4 linked regions of the Drosophila melanogaster genome follow. The protein of the gene in region 3 interacts with the protein of the main gene of each other region in a pairwise test. Each region holds a gene or a part of one and is shown on either strand. Other genes may lie near its edges. The genes, in order: CG14275, rngo, esn and CG6724.

The links.
Region 1: the proteins of esn (region 3) and CG14275 interact in a two-hybrid assay, tested with the Drosophila melanogaster proteins (one large-scale study listed by BioGRID).
Region 2: the proteins of esn (region 3) and rngo interact in a two-hybrid assay, tested with the Drosophila melanogaster proteins (one large-scale study listed by BioGRID).
Region 4: the proteins of esn (region 3) and CG6724 interact in a two-hybrid assay, tested with the Drosophila melanogaster proteins (one large-scale study listed by BioGRID).

The regions. Positions count from the first base shown.
Region 1 is NT_033779.5:8,325,866-8,333,431, forward strand, and holds CG14275 (uncharacterized protein), read left to right. Parts: upstream 1-1,590; 5' UTR 1,591-1,718; intron 1,719-3,182; exon of another isoform or gene 3,183-3,309; intron 3,310-3,782; 5' UTR 3,783-3,838; coding exon 3,839-3,899; intron 3,900-6,442; coding exon 6,443-6,828; 3' UTR 6,829-7,046; downstream 7,047-7,566.
Region 2 is NC_004354.4:16,439,695-16,445,879, forward strand, and holds rngo (rings lost), read left to right. Parts: upstream 1-1,858; 5' UTR 1,859-2,088; coding exon 2,089-2,326; intron 2,327-3,798; coding exon 3,799-4,282; intron 4,283-4,346; coding exon 4,347-4,632; intron 4,633-4,695; coding exon 4,696-5,064; 3' UTR 5,065-5,673; downstream 5,674-6,185. Other genes in the region: Cdc50 (cell division cycle 50), read right to left, coding at 1-68, 133-468, 523-718, 963-1,231, 1,448-1,508; eIF2alpha (eukaryotic translation initiation factor 2 subunit alpha), read right to left, coding at 5,861-6,185.
Region 3 is NT_033778.4:7,105,068-7,109,691, reverse strand, and holds the start of esn (espinas), read right to left. Parts: upstream 3,013-4,624; 5' UTR 2,751-3,012; coding exon 1,768-2,750; intron 1-1,767.
Region 4 is NT_033779.5:10,767,731-10,771,745, reverse strand, and holds CG6724 (uncharacterized protein), read left to right. Parts: upstream 1-1,793; 5' UTR 1,794-2,012; coding exon 2,013-2,071; intron 2,072-2,131; coding exon 2,132-2,798; intron 2,799-2,855; coding exon 2,856-3,102; intron 3,103-3,169; coding exon 3,170-3,459; 3' UTR 3,460-3,512; downstream 3,513-4,015. Other genes in the region: CG17127 (uncharacterized protein), read right to left, coding at 465-761.

The sequences.
Region 1 (7,566 bases), on a different chromosome or scaffold from region 3:
GCCTATCAATTGTTTGGCCGTTAAAGGTCGATTCAGAAATGAGATCTCTAAGCTAAGATTATTAAAATGTTTGTATAAACAAATACATTAAAAAGCTAATCGTGCTCCCTGAATTAGGTGTTTTGAAATATATACATGTTTACATATTGTATTAAAATAATCTGCTCTTAATCACTTCCACTTCTGTTTCTTCTTATTTTGGCATCTCACTTTTTATTTATGTATTTTTAAGTAGTCGCAATTAGAAGCTGCAATTAGCCGAAGGCAGTGCACTGGACTATTCGCCTCATTCACTCATAACCCTGAGCGCCATTTCAACTAGGCGTCCAGACACTCAATCCATAGCCGGAGATCAGGAGGACGTGAGCACGTGAATAGCCGGAGAAGTCGCACAGTAGAAGCAGAAATCAAATCCACCGGGATTAATTAAGCTTAATCGCAGGCTTCCTCTTGAAGCTCCAGCCACGTTGCTTATCACAAAGTCGCACAAATTGCTGCCCCAAGACGCTGGTCAATTGAATTAAGTCTTTCTTTCACTCACTATATGCACTATATATGTACATACATATATGTATGTATGATATGTACATATATTTTTGCAGATCGGTTTGCCTGGCTTTTGTGCCCCAATCAGTGCGCGAAATTGAGGAATCCGTGGGGGCAGATTGCCCTTTGGGGAGATTTGTGTTACCCTGTCTCCCAGTCGCGCTTGTACTTACACTTAAAAAAAAAAAGGTTCATAATATGCAGTCGATCTTTTATAAGTATTTTGGAAGCCTCATATTTTGTAAGCATTTATCTTCACTTTACTTTTATTTTGACACACTTAAATCGTTTTTATATATTTTTTTATTCATTATTACAATGTTAGGTGTATTTATTTTATTTTTTTATTAATATAACTTCAATTTATTTAAATAAAAAATTGAGAAAATAAATATTTCTCAGTGTGATGTCCCTAAATTGATTGCATTAAACAATGTTTGCGACTATAAATAGCGATAGTAAGAAAAGAGTTTTCGCTTTGGATTGGGGTTAAAGTACGAATAATCAAAATGTTGACTAACATGTTAAGCAACAAATTGTTTAAATTTAAATAACATTGAGTCCGACTAAAACGCGAAGCTTTGAAATCTTAAGCTTTTAAGCTACCGCTTCTAATGTGTTGAAGAACCGACTAAAAGCTTTTCTAACAAAATATGGGTTATTTGCCGTGAGAATTTCCCCTTGTTTCAATTAGAGCATTAGCCCCAAAAAATAAGTTTCCTTTATTTACTTTTTTTTTTTTGTTCCGTGGCTTCGCATTAATTTCGTATTTTATGCGCAATTAATCATGAAGTCTGGCGATTGAAATCGCGAACAGGAGAGATACGTTTCCAGAAATCACTTGTTAGAAAAAAAAAAATCCGGCAAACCGGTTTCAGCAAACAAGAATCGGGCTCATTTGCCTCAGTTTGTTTTTGGTTTCAAACGAATCCCCAGTCTGACCTCCCAATAATGCTCGCAGATCAGCTGATTTCCGATTTCTGACTTCGATACGAACCCACCAATGTCATTTGGCTGAAGACAAAGATCTCATATTCACAGACCTCAGTTACACGTTGAATTTGCAGTAGATTGGTTCTACTGTCGGTGGGAATTTAAACACTTAAAGTCAAACAAACAAAAACTAACAATAGAAGTGCAACAAAACAGTAAAAAATTTCAAAAGAAAAAAGGTATTTCCTAATTTAATTAAATAAATAGATAGCAAGAAGTGAGATTTTTGAGATCAGTTTGTGTAGTTTGCTTTTTGAGATTCTTCATTTCCAAGCAAACACAATAAAAGAAAAGATAAATTCACTTTCATAATTTATGAACAGAAGATTTTACCATTACATAGGAAAATTAGTTTCCAAAAATTTCCCCACACAATCACAATAAGTTAAGGAAATTTTCCACTTTTCATTGAGAGCTGTTTTCGACCAAGAACCACTTCAAACTGGCTAAAACCGGCAACTGAGCGCGGCAATATGCATATTCACTTTAGCTTGGCGCTTCACACAATGCAGCGTGGAAATTAAAAATTAGTTGCATTGTTTGCAGAATCGAACACCTAATGAATGCACTGCACAGATATGTACCTTACGTCAGGCAAAATTTAAAACATTTAATGATGAGTCAAGAAATTCGTACCGCCTTGAACTAGAAGAGAGACAGATAAGACGAATCCACTGATTTTCCCAATTAAGTTGAGTCCGAAAGTCTGACTTCGTCACCGATGCGGACTAGACCGAACCACCACAGCTGAGTTTTTGGAGGTGCGAACCAGTTTTAACTAATCAGCGCCGTTGATAAGGAACTGCCGTTCTATGGAGCTCGTACAGTCCATGTTATGGCGGTCAGAACGTGCTCCTATCGCAAAAACCCAGCTCACCGGAACCAAATCGATCACTCGATGGGAAAAGATTGCAGAGCCAATGACATCTTGGCCCGAATTTGAGATTCCAACTTCCTATCAAATGAATTAGCTATTACTTTTTTTATGGAAAATCTAGGTAATTTGTACGTCAGTTTTTATAAACTTAACATTCACATTATTTGTATAGTAATGAAAAGTTATAAAGTTATATGGCTATTAGCCATTATTGCATTTTATTGGCTTATACTACCAATATTATGCTGCATATGGGAATCTTACTTAAACAATGGTTATCTTTTGTTAATAGGCATAGTAAGTGGCTATTCAAAAGCTATATATAGTATAGTATTGTATAGTACATACATTGTTTATTTACTTTTTTTTGGGAGCTGTTTGCGAGTGACGTCACAATTCGGACTTAACTGGTTCAAGCCGGTGGATTCCATTTGGACTGTGTTTTGCATTCGGGTTAAGAACCAAGCTGAAACCAACCGAAGCTGGAGCTTATCAATGCGGCGTGGAAACTACCTTGTGTAGCATCCCCCTATATAGTCGCACATATATGTATGTATTTAACATACATAGGTATATATGTTGATATAAAACGACCCCGTAAAGACGATCGAGTGACGGAAGTTTTCACATATTTTCCATTTGCTGCCTTTAGGGCCGATCTCGCTCTCTTCGCTCTCCCGAAGCCAATCTGCTCGGCTCGGCTCTCAGTTCGCAATGAGCTGGCTTTTTGAAAAATCAACGTTTTTCGAAAAGTCAAATACAAGTTTTCAGATTCATCTCGACGGTGCTCGCGTCCAGTTGTCCGTTCGCATTAATCAACAATATATTAATTGTGTGCTGTAACTTCTTATGATCATAAAGAGTTGTTTAGCATTTTATTGAAAATATCAAAGGTGATTGAATGCATACGAATAACATTTTGAAAGGGCTTAAATTGTTTGTGAAAAACGACTTCGATTGTAATCTGTAATGGATATAAGCTAATTGGGTAGAAAACAAATTTTAATTTAATTTTTTTGAACTGTGCACAACTCACTGGATGTACACAACATTTAAATTAAATTTACATATTCGCAGCTACTTGTTGCAATCCGCCTCGTTGAATATTCAAATTTAAAAAAAAAAATCCAAAAGTTGCATCAGCACACCACTTGCACTTGTCACGTTTAATAGCCACGTTCTGATACCGGTTTACGAGTGTAAATAAGAGTAGTATACAAAGAATTATAGATTATTAATATTACCAGAGCAATGCTAATTAAACAATGCGCTGCTTCTAGTGCTAATCAAATTACAAACAAACCTCAATGCAAAAAAGAGAGAAAAATCTGATAAATAAAATGCGAAAATCTAATACTACTTACAGCATCAGCGTTGGAGAAGTCTACTGGAAATCTAGTAACTGCAATCAAAAACCACAAAATGGCAATCACAACCTACGTCTATGCCATGTGCCTTGTTTTGGCCGCCAATTTGTTAACAGGTAAGTTCTTATATCTATCAGAAAAATGTATAATATTTAGGAAATGGAATAGATTTAAATTGAAACTAATAAAATTAATAAAAATTAAGTTAGAATTATGTGCAGTGTAGGTAGTGTTCTATGTTTCAAAGTAATCAGCTAGCTTTTATTCAGCTAATCAATTGAAAATCACTTTCAATGTAGTGTAATACAAAAGGCCAATTGGTTGGCCAACACTTTAGTGATTGTCAAAATTGGTTTTTCGCCAATTGATTGATTTTTCCCTACTCGAAATCATTTAAACCAATCACAAAACAAGAAGCCATATAATCAGCGGGGTGGAAACTGATGCCAAACGCATTCGTGACTCACCAAAACTTATCAAGAAAATTGATGCTGCCCATTCAAGCGCCAAATTTAAATGTGTTTATCCAGATTGAGCTTCAAATAATCGAAAAGTTTTTATTTTCTACAGCAAAGAAAACTATACTAAATTCATAAATGACGGGGGATTTTAATAAGGATGATAAATGGCCAAACCTATTGATTTCTGAAATGAATAGCGCTAGATATTGGCATTTATCGTACTAAGTTATGATGAATTCATATTACAAGTTTTTTAAATAATATTTGCTTCACTGAATAGAAAGATAATATTCTAAAATATTTTATTTGTTAATTTATGTTTCGTTTAATTTTATTTGCTAGAACTTTTTTGATTTTCCTTATACGTTCAATAATTAAGCGATGCCCACTGCGTTTGTAGCAATTACCTCATCATTCGACATATCACTTCGGGCAAATAATTGTTTAAAAAAATCCGAGAGTTTAAACTAATTATACCCGCGATGCTCACACGCACACACAATTGCCCGAATCCGTTTGTAATCCACCGCTTGGAGTAAATTGATTGTCCAAGCAATTCGGCGACTCGCACTCACTCGTTAAGGGAACATTAAATGGCGTTAAATAATATTGAATGTATTTGCACGCGAACAAATGTGTGGTTGTTTATATTATATTATTGAGTACATATATATACCCTCGATCCATTAATCGGTTGGGCAAATATGCACGTTTGTGGGCGCATTCCAGTGGCGAGTGAATAGCACACAACCTTTTCCACGGCAAACTGAAGAGCGCGTTTCATTAGCGAACAATTGTCAGGCGAAAAGTTGCAACAGTTGAGAGATATTGCGCTCGACTGCCTCGATTTCCACCCGCTTTTCCGATTTTCCGCACTTGCCACAAGTTCACCGGTGAGCCGCATGAATATGCAACAAATGTAAAATGCAAATGGCAAATGCTAGAAATGCAAATTCAGTTCAGTTTCCCCTACCACTACTCTTACTACTGATTTTTATGGCAGGTGACTTTTTATTACTGAATTTTTGTTTGCACTACCCTGGATTCGTTTAATTGCCCAAGTAAGTGGTTAGTAACCAAAGTGTTATAATATTACTCATACGACCCGTTCGACATTTGTAATCCTGACAAAAGCTTAGACATATTTCGAGTTTATAATAACGAGTTTCAGGTTACTGTTCCTCCAAGTTAGCATGTCCTTGCCCTTTGGCAAATGTAGTTTTTCTTTTCACCGGATTCAATGGGAAAAATTCTCTTCTGAGTGACGGCTTCAAGTTTACCCATCGTATTGCTAACCAAATTGGATGGAGACTGTCAAATCAGCTGAAAGGAAAATTGATATGGTAATAGGAGCAATCGTACCAATGGAAAGGCTAATTTCCTAATTCAACTAGATTTTAAATGAGCTAATTATTTCATTAGTACAGCAAGTTGGTTTGATATCTATCGAAATTATACCTATCAAATTAAAGAAGGGTTAATAAATTTCTGATATTTCTGATATAAATATGGATATTTATAGAAAATATCACTTAAAATGTAAGAAACGCTTGAAACAAAAGACTTAACCTTAATCATAAATTTGTGTACTTTATGTTTTATTTAACACATGCATATTCTATATTTTTTATATTCCTATTGCATTTTCCATATCTCTTAGTTAGGGTTACTGCACTTCGCATCAATTTAGGCCCAGCGATTTGAAGCCCAGTTTTTGTTGAGTTCTTGACGGTTTGCGTGCCAAAGTCTGGATGTTTCGGCATTTATTTGTTGGCCCCAAGCAGTTGACATGCAATTATTCAGGTTACTGCAGTTGAAAAGGACTCGGTTTGTCAGTCAGAGAACGGCCTCCCAATGTTTTTTCCTATTACTTTTTTTGGGGTGGCGTTGGGTGGTTGTAATAAAACAATTTCTGTCAGTGTGACGAGGACTTTGAAAAGGGCGAATCGCGAGGCATTTGAATGCCATTAGTGGCTGCACGTATCCAATTACTGTCGACGAGGATAAAAGTAGTTTAATTAAAGCGGAGGCTTTACCTAATCGTAATACAAGGCACAAATGCATACATTTTGAAATTTCTTAAGTAATTAATTAATAAATGAATTTCTATACTAATTCATGGAATTGTTTTTGAATATATTACACGATTACGAATTAAAAGCAATTAATCAACGTATATGATTGGTTTGTCCTTGCAGTGAATGCCATTCGGTGCCATCAGTGTAATTCGCATGACAACGAGGATTGCGGTGGCCTGGTGGTGAACACTCCTCGTGCCCAGAGGGACAACCAGTACCTGACGGACTGCGTCCCGCCCAGCGGTGAGGTGGCCTTCTGCCGCAAGACGGTGATCAATTTCGAGCAGAACGACGAGCGCAGAATCGAGAGAAGCTGTGGTTTCATTCCGGAGAAGATCCAAAACGCTTGCTTCACCGCCGACAACGAGGGCTACAAGCAGATCATTTGCACCTGTCCCGACGAGGGATGCAATGGAGCCAGCTCCCTGCTGGGTGTCCGCCAGTTGGGCTACAGTCTGGTTGGATCTGTCGTCAGTCTGGCACTGGCCAGCATGCTCAGGCATTAGGTCATCGATCAGCTCACCTTCAGCTCCTGCATCCTGTTTTCTCCATTCAAAACGTACCTAATCCTAACTGGTTAAGCTAAGTCTTAAATATTTTGCACTAAGTTCTTTGCTGTTTGCCATATTTAGTTATGTATACGTGGCAGCTATTTCGCGTTTAGTCTTGTATTCTGTATTTTTATATTTAATTACTATAAAAATATAAGCATCGTATTTAAAAGAAATCTATGATGTTTAATTTATTTGCATTCTTTTATTCTGAACTTGTCGCCAAATGTATAAAATCGAATTTTTCATGGCAAATGAGGAGGACGAACGCTTAAATTGACCAAGGACTCGCCCACGCACTCCGTCTCTCTCTCTCACACACTTCCTGTGCTCTATCTCTGTCTATCGTCCAGTTACTTGCTGCCAAAATGTCTGCAGAAATTGTTTTGTGGCCCAGAGTCAAAGTCACTGTCTACGCAGGCCAAAAATAATAGGGCAACTTTGTTAGTTTTATTGTTGAGGATGAGCATGAAACCCTGACATGTTGGCCCATTAAGTCAAACACAGGATTACACTGAAAACGGAAAACGAGGACGTTCTTTCAAATGTGTGAAATGAGAATATAATAAGCTTACTAATAAGCTTAAGCTAATAATATATGTAACATATTTTTAGTTAGGGGAAGGATCTTTTGCTGCAATAAAGGGCATTATTAAGTTTTTTTTTTACTTAAAATCCTATATTTAGTATTTC
Region 2 (6,185 bases), on a different chromosome or scaffold from region 3:
GCCACCGAGCACGGATGTGGTGGAGAGTATCATTCGCTTCGTGCCGTCGAACGACACCACCGGATAATCTGAAGGGCAAAACACAAATACATTAGATACAGCATTCGCGATATCCCAGCCATTCGTACTTACTATACTTAATGTTAAGCGTATAATTGCCAGACTTCAGGCCGTTGGCATAGTTGGTGTTCGTTTGGTTGAGACGGCGATATAGCTTCCGGAAGCTGGGCAGAGCGGCGGTGCGCATCCACACGATCAGATCCTCGTTCTGGAAGCCATTGTTGTCCGGATTCTCCGGGTCCAGGTCGGCCAGACCCTTCTGCCAGAAAATTGGCTTTGAGAAGCCCTCAAGGGAGACGTTCAGGTTACCCTCTGGGTTTCGGAACTTGACGCGCTTGTCCGACGGCCAGGCAATGCCCGTCTTCAGCAGCTTGATCTCGGATCCACCCTGCAAGAGGGTCAGCGTGTCTGGAAGATATCAATGTTAGTTGCGGTACAGTCAAGGTAGTTTCTGTGCCGCACCATTGAACAGCGAGTTGGCAATGGCACCGCAGGGCGCGATGGGCTTTCCGGAATCGGGATCATAGGCGAAGGGGGCACAGTCTGTACTGGGCGTTTGCGACAGGTGACCCAGCAGCTGCTCGTCGTCCCGTGACTTCACATAGCGCCGATGGTTCTGATAGTAGTTGGTCAGTCCGTAGTACATGTATACCACACCCTTTAAAAAAGGAAGTTAACGAAATACTTAAATGAGAATCTCTTTCTAAAGTATTATAAGGAATCCAAATCCACTATCAATATCATCAATATCTTTTCCAAACCTGCTAAAAGCAATGTTGATAAATGCCTTGCAGATTATAAAAGCAGCATATAGCTTTTCATTTGAACTACTTCACTACCTAAACTAAGAGCTGATTAATTGAGCTGGACAGCTACTGAAGCTCTGGATCCCTATAACTCACATTGAAGTCCGAGGGCAGGACGAAGGGCACCTCGCAGGGGCACGTAACGCCGGGGTTGGCCTCCAGATACTCCGCACAGGTGGTATTTCCGCCCGAGCGCCTGCACTTGGTGTAGTCGATGATCAGCTCGTTGGCGGTGTTGCTCAGGTGGAGCAGGACCACGCCGATGGGTATGAATAGAACTCCGATAACGAAGAAGGTGGGCAGTACGGTGCGGGCGGTCAGGACGGGCTGCCAGGCGGGCAGGCGCTGTTGCTTGAAGGCCGAATCTGTGGGTGGACAACATGGGAAACGGGCAAACGTGAGCGACTTGGCATGACCTCATGGTTAATGCAGGGACACCAGGATGGGCCCCGAAAATCGATTTGCCATTGGATATTAGTCATTCCCCTCCTTATCACTTGTTACGCAGACAAGTGTGTGTGAGTGTGTTATTGGGGGATTGGGATTTGGATGGGGCGACTCGCATGAAACTGGGTTTTCACCTGAAGGTCGCTTGGACTTCGCCGCTGCACTCTCCTCATTCTCCGCTTGCTGTGTGGACATGGTGGCTTATCTGGTTTCTCGCTATGCTCCTCGAAAAGCTCCTTGGTGTCCAAACGCTGCAAGTGACTCCAATTGAATAAAGTAAATACAATAAAATTTCGATGACAGCACATGAGTCATCGATATGTATCGATACCTGCAGTGATGGTATATATCGATGAAATTTTATCTATATTTAGCTTTTGCTCCATTTGGCTTACCTTTGAGAAATATGTTAAACTAAGGTAAGAGGAAAATCATTTGTCTCTCCAAATTCGTCGTAATACCTCCAAATGAGCAATGCTCTAGCCATCCCATTCAACTATCGATAGTCAGACCGCGAATAGTATCGATAAGGCGTCGCATGCAACCGCGTGGAGGCGGCGTTTTCGTTGTTGTGTCAAAACAATAAGCGAGCAGCAGAATATCAGCACACCCATCCAGCTAGCAAAGATAAAGGCGAAAAGGCTAGACCAGCAGAGATTGTGATTCACTTTGCCACCCACCAGTGCAGTACATACCCGCGCTCGCTAACATTCGATCCACCTAAACCACGGTAACACAGAAACGCCAACACACATACACACAGTACGCAGCGGCAATGAAAATCACAGTGACGACCAGCGATGACAAGGTCTTCTGCTTGGACGTGGCCCAGGATCTTGAGCTGGAGAATCTCAAGGCCCTCTGCGCGATGGAGATCGGTGCGGAAGTGTCCCAAATAGCGGTAATTTTCAACGGGCGGGAGCTTTCCAGCGACAAACAGACGCTGCAACAGTGCGGAGTCGGCGACGGCGACTTCATCATGCTGGAACGACGCAGGAGCGCCAATCGCCCAGGTGAGAGAGAGAGAGAGTTGAAATTCGGCGTTGGAATGGAAACGAGATGGGAAAGTGGAAAGAGCGGGGTGAAGAGAGGGGGAGCCATTATCCTTATGTGGGTCACGTTTTTCCCCGTGGAGGGGGGGGGATCTTGAGTGTGTTTTGGAGGATGGTGAAGGGGGTTCATTGGTCAGATAACGCGAATTCGCACAATAATAAAATTAATTATTGTCCTACATGATCCATAACACGTTTATATTCAAATGTCGCTTAAAAAATACTTCAGCAACATAATATTTAGGAAAAACCGGGAAACCCCGAATACGTAGTGCGAACATTTCATTTAACAATACTTTTGCAATGTGAAATTTGAACTGTGCTCATTTTTTTTTTAATTTGTTGGCGTTATTAGTTGCTAGATTTTTATGGAAAAGCGCAGCGAGCACAGCTCATCTTTTTGCGGCGCAATTGGTGTTAAAAATAAACGCCTTGCTTCGTCTGACTTTCTTTTCGCAAATTCCAAAAAAACAGCGGCACACAGACACGGGAAAGAACACTGGAAGTGTGTGCTGTTTCCACTGCAGCAGAGAGGGGGGTTCGGGTTCGGTGAGGAATGGGCATACCAATGAAAGTGGAGGAGCAGCAGCAGGTGCGTTGCCTTTGCCTCAGTCTCAGCCCCATGGATCCACCCACTTGGGCCGCCCACTGTGGCCGGACCACTGTTTTGTTGACCCCTGAATGCGCATTTGGCCTTGTCAGCTTGTCCATTGAAATGGGATCGTGTATATATAATTGTTTTGCTATATACATATGTACATATGTATGAATGGTATTTCTGCACACATGTGCACACATTTTGGCGACTGCAGACAGGTGTGGGCGGTGAACAATTTTCGATTTCATTTGACCATTGCACAGCACTTTGGACTCCATGACTCGCACGCGAGCAAGCTCATTTGGCAGCCAGAAAATGAGTTCAACTACATATCACTTATCTACAGATATGTACATATTATCTAGTTAACACAACTGCACTTGCATTGGTTTATCTCGCTAGTCTGATGTTTTTAATTCGATTATAGATCACAGATTAATTAAGTTCCATTCAAATTGGATGACGGTGATTTAATCTATCTCGACAAACGTTTATACATATGCACATATGTATATAAATGTTTGTTGTATGGTAATTAGCATGAGTTATACGCAATCATTTATTTCACAATCTGCAAGCCAGATTATATTTGGGCAAAATTTGTTGAGGTTTTTAGGTATTGCTTGCTCTTTCTTTCTCAAAATTTGTTCCATTTTACGCGTAAATATGTTGATAATTTTCTCGATTTGTAGCAGATAACTGCACTGACCACAAATTGTCTTTTAAACTATATTCAATGTAATCGATTCGAATATTGACAAATGTAATCCTGTAAAGAAACGCAATAGAAAACTACCTCAATCGATTAATCTTTCGTCTCATTCAAAAATTTCAGTTGGCGGAAATCCAGCGATCAGCACGCTCGACTTCAGCAACATCGCCGTGCCGGGCACTAGTTCAGGCGGCAGTCCACCGTCAAGGCGGGTGCAGCAGCAGGGAGTGCAGCAGCCGCAGTTCAACAACCTCACGGACATACCCACGACCGATGAGTTCAATGTGAACTTCGACGACGACCCAGAGACGGTGCGACAGATGTTTCTGTCCAGTCCCGAGACTCTGTCGCTCCTCCGGCAGTACAATCCCAGCCTGGCGGAAGCCATCGATTCCGGCGACAAGGAAAAGTTCGCTCGGCTGCTTCGCGAGCATATTACGGAGCGAAAGCGTCGTAACGAGCACCGCATGCGCATGCTAAACGCCGATCCCTTCGATGAGGAGACTCAACGTCTGATTGCCGAAGAGATCAAGCAGAAGAATATCCAGGATAACATGGCGGCTGCCATTGAATACAATCCAGAGATCTTTGGCACGGTTACAATGCTGTAAGTAATGGTAAAAATAATTAATATGATTGGATTGGCTCATTGCAATATTGCATATTATTAGCTATATCAACTGCAAAGTGAATGGCATTCCTGTGAAGGCCTTTGTGGACTCTGGCGCCCAGACGACGATCATGAGCAAAGACTGCGCCGAGAGATGCCATGTCAACCGTCTGATTGACACACGCTGGAATGGTGTGGCCAAGGGCGTTGGCACACAGCCCATTCTGGGCAGGATACACATGGTCCAGTTGCAGATTGAGAACGATCACCTAACGTCCAGTTTCACCGTGCTGGGCCAGCAACCCATGGACATGTTGCTGGGTCTGGACATGCTGAAGCGACATCAGGTAATGAAATCTAGATAGCATCAGATTACGTCGCCTAAATGCTAATTGAATTGGTTTTTCCAGTGCCTGATTGACTTGCAGCGTAATTTGTTGATTATTGGCACCACGGGAACAACGACACCCTTTCTGCCGGAAAGTGAGCTGCCGGTCAGCGCCCGGCTGACAGGAAACTCGGAGGATTCGATGGAACAGGAGGCGATTTCCAATGCAATCGAGCAAAGCAAACGGGAGAGCGGTGGCGCCGGTGGCGGGCCCAACACGATCAGTCCTCAAGAACGATTCACCGAACAGGATGTCACCGATCTCATGGCCCTTGGCTATCCTCGCAGCGATGTGCTTACCGTGCTGCGCCTGTGCGGCGGTAACAAGCAGGCGGCCAGGTCCGTGCTGCTCCACCGCAACGATGCCGCCTCGGGGAGCGAACTCAGCTGAACGCGGCTAGACGCACAGCCCACACCACCACCTAAAGCCGAACTCCCCATAGCCAGAAACCGGATTGCAATAGGATGATGAACAGACTGGACCCCATTAACTGGAAGCCGTTCCAACGAAATACTCCGAGCAATACCAAATAATAAGCCACGCCACGCCACATATAAAGTCAAATAGGAAATAGTAAGGACTATACACAACCACAAAGCAATGAATACCGAAACGAAAACCTTTCTAATTTAGTGAAATGTTTATAAACTGATGTCACTTTTTTTATACGAATCGTTTGTTACGATGTACAATATCTAATTAGGGTGCTACGCAGCACTACCGGGTCATTTTTAAAGCAGAGGTGGGTTGGTTTTTTCTAGAGAGAATAGTAAGCGATATAATCTAAAATTTAATGAATGAAAATCTGGACGGTGATGGAAACAAGCCGCATCAACGAAAACATGAAACAAGTAAATACAAAAGAAAAACGAAAGAATGCCTGACTATTAAATAATATTACACTTATACACAATTTGAATTAGTATTAAGGGTCTGTCAAGAAAAACTGAATTGGGTTCAATAATAAATGGTCGATAGTATTGTTTTGGATTTGAAAAGAAAAAGATGAGCAAGCGCATTTTGATTTGTCTTCTTGGGCATCTCGCTGTTTTCACTTTTATAAATCTTTAATAGCATTCGTTATATGTTATGTATATAAATTATAAAATTACAACTTCTGATTTTTGCAAAACTCCTTTAATTGTTTGTTACAGTTGCTATAGTTGTGTCTGATGCTGTGGCTACGCTAATCCTCTTCCTCCTCCTCATCCTCCTCGTTCGCACGACCCGCCCCCGATCCCTTGTGGTTGAACTCCTTCTCTGGATCGAACTGCATGCCCTCCTGGTCGGCGCCATCCTCCTCGTCATCGTCGCCAGCCACCTGGGCGTTCTCGGCCTCAGCGCGCTCCAGGCGTCTGGCCAGATCCGCCTCGTCGATGGCCGTAACCAGTTTGGGTGCCATGATCACCTTGAACTCTCCATCGTACTCGCTGGTCTTGGCGCGAATGTGCTCAATGGCCACCTCCAGAGCCTTTAAACCGTCTGTCTTCTTGGTAGTGGATGTGGTCATT
Region 3 (4,624 bases):
TCAATTAGCCAGGCTGGCAAAAGAGGGCCGCCGGCGGTCCCAACTTATTTACTTTATTGTTGAGATTCCTATGCAAAGTGTTCGGCCGGCCAGGCGCTTAATTACGCTTTAAGTAGCCGCCAGTCAATATTGGGTTTGGTTTATTTAAACTGCGAATGTAATAGCCCCGCTGATTGCGAATGGCTCGAGAGGATGTGCATATGGATGTGGAACTGGAGGTGGAACTGGAGGTGGATGTGCGTCTCAAATTACAAAGTTCTGTTTAAGGGAAATTGATGGCGCACTCCTTCCACCAATATTTTATGGCTTCACCCAAAACAAAATCTAATTAACAGTTTGCGTAGATTTATGAACAGAAGTCCATGCAAATGAAGTCTGCATGCGGAATGCAGAGAATACAAAAGATGGAAGAGATGGCAGAAATGGCAAAGATGCCGAGGACCTGAAAGATCTGAAAGATCTGAAAGATACAGAATACCTTTTCGATGAAGGGCACTCAGTCAGGCGGCAAAAAGAACTCAATTTATGAAGTCGTCGGATGGAATTTATGAGGCTGCAGGATGCAAACACAAGGTGACGGGCGATCGGAGGAGAAGGACCTCGTGAGGATGGGCTCAGTGGACCCGAAGTTCTGCCAGCCTCGTTTAACCGCTGCTGTTGCCACTTAGCTGCATGCAATTCATTTTGCAGTTAACAAAACTCGACAGCGAGGCGAAGGAAGGAGCACGTGCTGGCCAGAAAGTTGATAAATAACTTTCCGGTGCCAGTTTTGCAAATAGTCGGGCATTAATAACACCTTCTTAGCGAGCCCACAAAGTCGCCTCCAGCTGACAGAGCCTCTTATGGCGGATTATTTGTGCCATTATTCGAGGGTGACCTGTAGGATTTGTACTCTCAGCGCAATTGAAACTGATACGCGTAGCCAACAACGGCTGTTGATCAGGTGAAAATGATAAACTCCGCTCTATTTATGAGCCGCCAAAGAGGTATGCCTTATCGTTCTGGATTCCTTAAGAAGTTCTGAAGAAATTAATTTATCCTAAACAATATGAAATCTAATAAGGGAAAGAAATGGCGATGGTGACAAAAATGACAACAGAAAAAAAGATCACGGGATTAATTCCATATTAACATTGCAAACTTCAAATGGGCTATAAACCCAAGGGCCAAAAACAACAATCGTGTCCATTGGTTTATTACCTTTTAAACAATTGCAATTGTAGTCGGTAAATTCGGTAAATTGTTTGGCCTTCGTACTTCTCTTTCAATAGTTGTAAAAACAACATTGGTAGAAAGTTGCAGACCCACATTTTCAACGGCAGCTAAAAGGTATTAAATTACCAAACACGAAAGCGGCCATTTTCAATATAACGAGTATTAACTCAACGTAAGTCGGAAATCTATAAAGCTGTCAGTGTGCCAGCCCATTTTAATGCGATCTGCCTTGCCTATAACTTCGAATAGCCAGTTTAATTTGAAGAACCATAAAGTATGATTCCAGTGGTTAGGAATAGAATCCTCCAGAACCCAACTGCTCCTCAACTCGGAGCACGGAGCACGGCTCATATGAAGCTATTAAGCAGCCATCAAATTGGGCCGTAAACTCTCTACTGCGACGCCCGTTTTATAGTCACTTAAATTGGGAAATGCAAAGCTCATCAAATGGATTTCAAATTAGTTGGCCACATTCCCGCCGACAACTCCGCTTTCCCTCGCCCACTTATCGCCGAGAGTTATGGCCATTAGAGATAGCCGGTGGAAACTCACATTTTGGGTGCTGTGGCTGCCGGCGGTGGCGGCCTCTTTGAGTGGCCATCAAATCTGGCCAATTGTTCTTCAATATCGCTGAGCTGGATATCGTCGGCAATGGCCTGGTTGAAGTAGCAGTTGGCCTTCCTCCTGCTCTTGTCCACCTCGAGGAGCTGCTCCGTATCCTTGGGATTTAGCCAAACGGCGTTCCTGTTGCGGCAGCGGTTCAGGTTCCTCAGATCGTCATATCGGAGGATCTGCTGCCCCTGGATCCTTGCTATCTGGGAGGGCGTTAAGCTGCCGGTCAGCATGGCCACCTCCACGTCATCGTCGGTCTCCCCGTTGCAGGAGATTCCCGAGGAGTGGAACTGATCCTCGCTGCTCAGCTTCCTCTGCACGCAGCCGGAGGATTGGGCCACGGCCATGGCCAAAGTGGGTGCAGGGGATTCGTTGGGCAGCTCCAGCGCTATTTCGTAGGGTGCTAGGGTGATCGTGGTGGCCTTTGGCTTGGTCTTGGTTCGCACTGCCGACTTGATGATGCACTTCGCAGGGGCGTTGCCCCGATGTTTGGAGCACGTGGACTTGCTACTCTGCTTCCTGGGCGTCAGTTTGGTCACCGTCGATAGCCGGGACTGCTGTCCAGCTCCTATCTGCGGCATTTTCGGCGGCTGAACCTGCTCCTCCAGCCGCTCCCGGCTGGCCAGGCGCTCCCTTTCCGCGGACACAGCCCGTCGGCGACTCCGCCGTATGCTGGGCATGTTCCGGGGGAACAGCTTGCCCGCCTCCGCCTGGGAGCTCTTGGAGAGACTGTCGCAGCTCCGGTGGCGGGTGGGACTGCCGCTGCTGGCGGTGGTGGTGGAGCTGTCGCTAATCGTGGTGGCCGTGTTGGCCAGCACTGAGGAGCACTCGCTCAGGTTGACGATGTCCCGGTAGTTCCTCGACTGATCCTGCTTGCCCACCTGCGGCAGCCGGATCTTCCACCAGCGCTTCTTCGAGAGCATCGCGGTGAGTGGAACGCACGTCAATCACGGGTCGCGGGCCAATCAATCAATTGACACATTAACGAACGGGGAACACCTTAAGCAGTTGGCAGGTATGCGGCGGCCTGCAATTACCGTCGCCAGCAATTAACGGGCGATCCGCTTGCTCCAATTACGTGCACTCGCGATCGGATTGATACGTATCGGCTGGGATTCTATCTGAATTCCTGGTTCGCGAAAGAACAGCACTCGCACCGCTCGCTTTGGGGCTGCTCAAACAACTGAAGATTGTAGAAAGTAGCTGTTGGCCGAAAGGCGGCTTTTGGCCAGGTTGGTGCAGGTCAAACTCACCACCAAGACGATCCAGCCAACTCACCACAGCTCTCTTTCTCTCATCTATATATCTCTCGCTCGCTCTTGTGGCCCAAGCAAGTGCAGGTAAAACAGGTGGCACAGGTGAGTCGAGTGGCTTTCGGTTGAGTGCTTCGGATTCGAGCCAGAATGTGGTGGCGTTTATTAGCCAGCTATTGAAGAGGCAGATTCTGGTAGCTGCAACTGGTTGATGCAGCTGTCTTCGGGCCATTTGACACATTTCAGGCCGTTTAGCGATTGACCCATTTCAATCACGGCCAACAAGGGAAGACCACGGCCAGCGTCCCTTGGGCGTTGTGTTACCACATTAGCAGCGCACTCATAGGTGGTCATTAGACTGCGGGCTTGGTGAAAATGTGGTAATCGGGTAAGGCCCCTCTCATGAAATCCATCCGTTTGCCCCGGAATGGAAATGAAGACGGGCGGATGGAACGTGGACGAGGGAACAAACCAATCATTGGAAATTAGGGTTTGTGGCTTCCCTATGCTGCACGGGACTCTCTTCTTGTGGCAGCACACGGACGGTAATGGAGTCGACACCGATTTCACATATTATTCAATTAACACGCAGCTACTGATTCATTGCAATTGAGGCTGAGCTAGAATTTACTAGCCAGTGCAATTATGTCCTGTTGATATTTGGGATAAGTATTCTTCAAAATGGTTTTTAGTTTAAAGTTATGTGGTGATTTTGATAATCGACTTAATAGATCAAAGACCAGTTTCACTTCCGAGGCATTCCACTAACTATCTCGGATATAAAAATGCTATGAAAATTATTTGCACAATATAAAATGTGTCTTTCGTTGAATTATTTTGAGTCGCTATATAAAGTGTCTCTCTCGATGAATTAATTAGAGCCGCTAACTTCTCACACTTTGCAATTATACTTTCTTCTCTGGCTACTAACAACCAGAAATAATTTAAAATTAGTGACCTTTACTACAAGCTAAAGGATTCAATTGAATTTTTAACTTACCTTCAAAACTCTCCCAAACGAATTGCCATTGCGAAGTTTGCGTTTTAACAAATTGTTTCACCAACTGCAATGAAAGACGAAAGTAAATAAATTAATTTCCCCATTTAACGTTAAATATTTGCACTCTCTTTCGACACTCAAAGAGTGATGGGCGAAATGGCCCAACTAATTGAGGACCAGGCCAGAAGAGAACAGCCAACATGAAGCGGCTGAAGGCAAACGAAATAAGCAAGTGACTGCCAAAAGTATTTTAATTGCCCGGAGTTTTCCGAAAAGAGGGGCGTCAAAACTTTATTTGACAGTTGGAACAACTGAACAATTCATGAAACAATTTTGATTAAAACCGAGACACACGGTCTCCAACTGGAGAAATGTCAGCGAAAGCAGTTGTCAGATGCCAGCAGCAGGTGAAAATTGGTGCACTGAGAACATTAGATGCTCAAGGTGATTGTATTATCATTATCGTTAGTAATCAATCATTGGTTGTATGGTCGATAGACAATGCCTTTAAGCTCCATTCAACTATAAAACTAACTTCTGAATT
Region 4 (4,015 bases), on a different chromosome or scaffold from region 3:
ATCACGACGACAACTGTTGCATCACGACCGCAGCACAAAAGTTGCCGGCGGGGCAACCACTCGGGTTACCAGCGACTCCATCGCCATTCCCATCCCCGGGTTACGTAACAAGGTTGAGGATAGGATACCATGCCATGCGATAGCAATGTGCCGACTTTTATTGTTAATTCGTATGCGCAGCGGGATCAGCGAGGAGAAAGTCGGCGAAGATCGTTAGGAAAAAGCCACAAATCAAACCAATAAATCACTCGTTTCGATTCGAGAGTTCGTTTGCAGAGGAACCAACTGGTTTTCGGGGAGGATCACTTTCGCTTTTAATATTTTTTTCGGATTTTTTTTTCCAATTGTTTTGGGTGGTAAATAAACGCTGCGATTAAATACTTGTAATGTTTTCGTTTTATTAGTGAGAAACTTAACAATGAGGACGAAATGCAATGAGCTAACCAAGGAAGTGGTCCTACGACTTAGTTGCGACCGATCTGGTCGACCTGGGACTGCAGGTTGTTTATCACCTCGGAGGGCACCTGGTCGCCGAGGATCTCGAAGAGATTGATGCGCTGGTTGCCGGGTATCTGCTCGTACGCGCCCAGCTCGATGCCCTCCTGCACGTTCTGGATCTGGGCATCCTTGGGGATGAGAAGCGTCTGCTGCGCCTGCCGGATCGCCTCGTTCGTGTAGGCGGCACCCTCGCGATTCTGGGGCAGGGATTGGGCACCAGCCAGGAGCAGGGCGAGCATCGAACACAGCGCGAACACTTTCATTTTGTGGGTTTTCTCGAGGGGATTCAACTGCAAGAGATGCACGGATTCAGTGGCGCTCGATGCGGACTGGATTTGGTTATGGTCTTACCTTGCGCGCGTCGTTTGTTGTAATGTTTCGGCTGCGCAGGCGCAATGCCCGTTTTATAAGCTGAGCTGCGCCGCTGGAAGCCCCGAAAATCTGGAAAGCTTTAACTCTTTCATTTCGCTTCGTTTCTGGTTTTTTGTAAAGCCAAAATGGTGGCACAAAGTAGTAGTACCGAAAAAAAGTGTTATTACTTCCCAGCTTAATATCCCCATCGACCCATTAAGGTGAATACATTTTTTATTGGAAATTTTTTATTTTCTTGGGCATTTGTCCAATTTTGATGCGAAGGTTAAGCGCCACTTCAGAAATGTCAAGTGGCATTTAACCTTCCAGTGAACACTCGGCCGCAAAGTGGTCTTTCAGGTGCTATCTGGTTCATATTAATAGCCTGAACGTAAAATATTAACAATTACCAGTCTTTGAAGATTGAAGAGTCATTTACAAATTGCCGCCGCGGCTGTGCATTTTTTGGTTTCTTATTTTTCCATTTTGCGTAAGACGATCAAAAGGAAGAGAAGCAGTTAGTGGCTAAATTACAGCAAATCATCTGCGCCTGATTTGCTTGCAAAAAATATTTAATTATCAGTATTGCGAATTGGCTCGTATCTCTGTAAGATTTTTTTGTAATAAAAAAAAGGAGAAACGACAAAGCAGTGGTTATGCAATCAGCGGTTTTTCGAATTTGATGAGTAATATTTTAGAGAAACAAAATCAAAGTGATTAGAAATACCATACACTCTATTAATATCTTTTTATTTGTTAAAGTAATCGGCAAATTACACTTAAGCAAGCTATTATAATTATGCATAGTTTTAACGCACCAAAAAATTTGAATTTAAAAACTCCGCTTAGTAGTAACGGGTGATAACAAGACGATAAGGCATTTCGATAAGAGCACAGCGATAGCAATGCGATAACTCTTATTCCGGCATGCGCTTCGGCGTTTTTTAGTGTTTTTGCATGTATTTGTTGCATTTACCATCGTTCGTTTAAAAACACGCTTCTTTTCAATTTAATTTTACACAACGATCTCCCGAAGGAAGAACCTCTAGTTTAGTGGTCAACACCTTGTACCACCTGCAGGAGTTAAGTCATAACCGTAGCAAACACACGCGGGAACACCCCAATCCCAATCCAGCCAAAAAGAAACGCACGTGGGCCAGGAGATGGATGTGGATAACGGCGAGGGGCAGGTGCAGGTGCACCTGAAGACCAAGCAGGAGCAGTGAGTGTCCATCTAGAATCTCTATCAGTAGAAGATTTTAATCAAGATACCCTATTTCAGCTATGCCGTGCCTGATGTGCCCTATGCCATCGATGGCACCGTCACCACCGTGGAGCTAAACACATTCGTGAACGCACTGTTGCGTCAAAAAGATGGCTCTTCCGACACGGACTTCGACTTCCTGGTGTTCGATGAGTACCTGCGTGGCCGGCTGTGCGATCACCTGCGCGAGAAAGCCATCAGTTTCGAGGACGCCATCGAGATCGAGTATGTGGAGCGGTTCCCGGCGCCAGAGCCACAGGATTGCCTGCTGCACGACGACTGGGTGTCCGCGGTGAAGGCTAGAGGAAAGTGGATCCTCTCCGGGTGCTACGACAACACCCTGAATTTGTGGACCAACAAAGGCAAGCACATTCTCACTATTTCTGGTCACACGGCGCCCATCAAGGCGGTGGACTGGATATCGCTGGACGAGGAGACGGGACGTTTTGTGTCCACATCGCAGGATCAGACCGCCATGCTGTGGCAGTGGAACGTGGGCTCCAACTCGGTGGAATGTGTCTCCGTGTGCAAGGGCCACGAGCGAGGCGTCGACAGTGTCAGCGTGAGTCCGGATGGTCTGAGATTTGCCACGGGCTCTTGGGACACGATGTTGAAGGTGTGGTCAGCAGAGCTGGACGATGCAGTCGAGGGCAGCTCAAAGCGGATGAAAGAGAGCGGTGTGAGAGTGAGTAGTCTTGCCATTTATAATTAGACTTGTAATCAGCTTTACAATTCCTTTCAGACCCCCAAAATTACGCTGCAGGGACATCGTGAGAGCGTATCAGCCGTGCAGTGGATGGATGCTACCACTCTGCTAACTGGCAGCTGGGATCACACACTCAAGGTGTGGGATCTGAGTCTTGAGGGCATCAAGACCGAAATATCCACCAACAAGTCCATATTCGATGCGAGCTACTCAAAGCTGAATCGGCTGATACTGACTGCTTCGGCGGACAAGAATCTGCGGCTCTATGATCCTAGGACAAACCGTAAGATCTAATACTCCAATATCAACAATGGAACTTCCACCTAACCAATATAATTCGGATCTTTCAGAGGGATCAGTGGTAAGGAATACCTATCTGGGACACAATGCCTGGGTGCAGACCGTCATGTGGTCCACCACGGAGGAGTTCCTATTTGTCTCCGGCGCTTATGACAACCAGAACAAGCTGTGGGACTGCAGGAGTCCCAAGGCCCCACTGTACGATCTTCTGGGTCACGGTGAAAAGGTCCTGGACATCGACTGGTCCAATCCCAAGTACATTGTATCTGGTGGTGTCGACAACACGGTGCGCGTATTCAAATCTCGCAAGGCGCTAGCGGAAGAAGCGGAGACGAAGTAATCCCAAAACTTGTAAACTTTTTATAAATACAAAACTAGTTTAAACTTTAAAGTAAATATTGAAAGATTTTACATCTGGGGTGTTACACTTAAATTATCGAAGTGGGTGAAGCAGAGAGGTATTCAAAGTGTATTATACATGGTGTAAATATTCTTGTTTTTTATTTCATTTACGAAATAGTTAGATTTCAATACTTGAATATTATTTTTATGGTATCCGCTTCCGAGTTGCCACAGTGCTAGAAAAGGCAAAAAACGGTTGCCAGAAGCCGAACATCGATAGTTCGCTAAGGATGAGCGGACAGCGCGAGCACCTAGAGACGGACCCGGACCGATAGCTGGCTACAAACATACAAATTATCGAGTTTCTAACAAAGATAAAGTCGGCTCTGCGTCGCCTCGTAATTTGCCAACTGTAATTTAGCGAAATAACAACGATCGCGACCGTGAGCCGCCGAGGAGTTTGGAGCGCCGACACTGCCACCCACCAAGGACGCCAGCGGAACAGCCGTGCATCCACTGCGAAGGCCGTGTGCGCGAGAGTGCGAGCGAGAGGG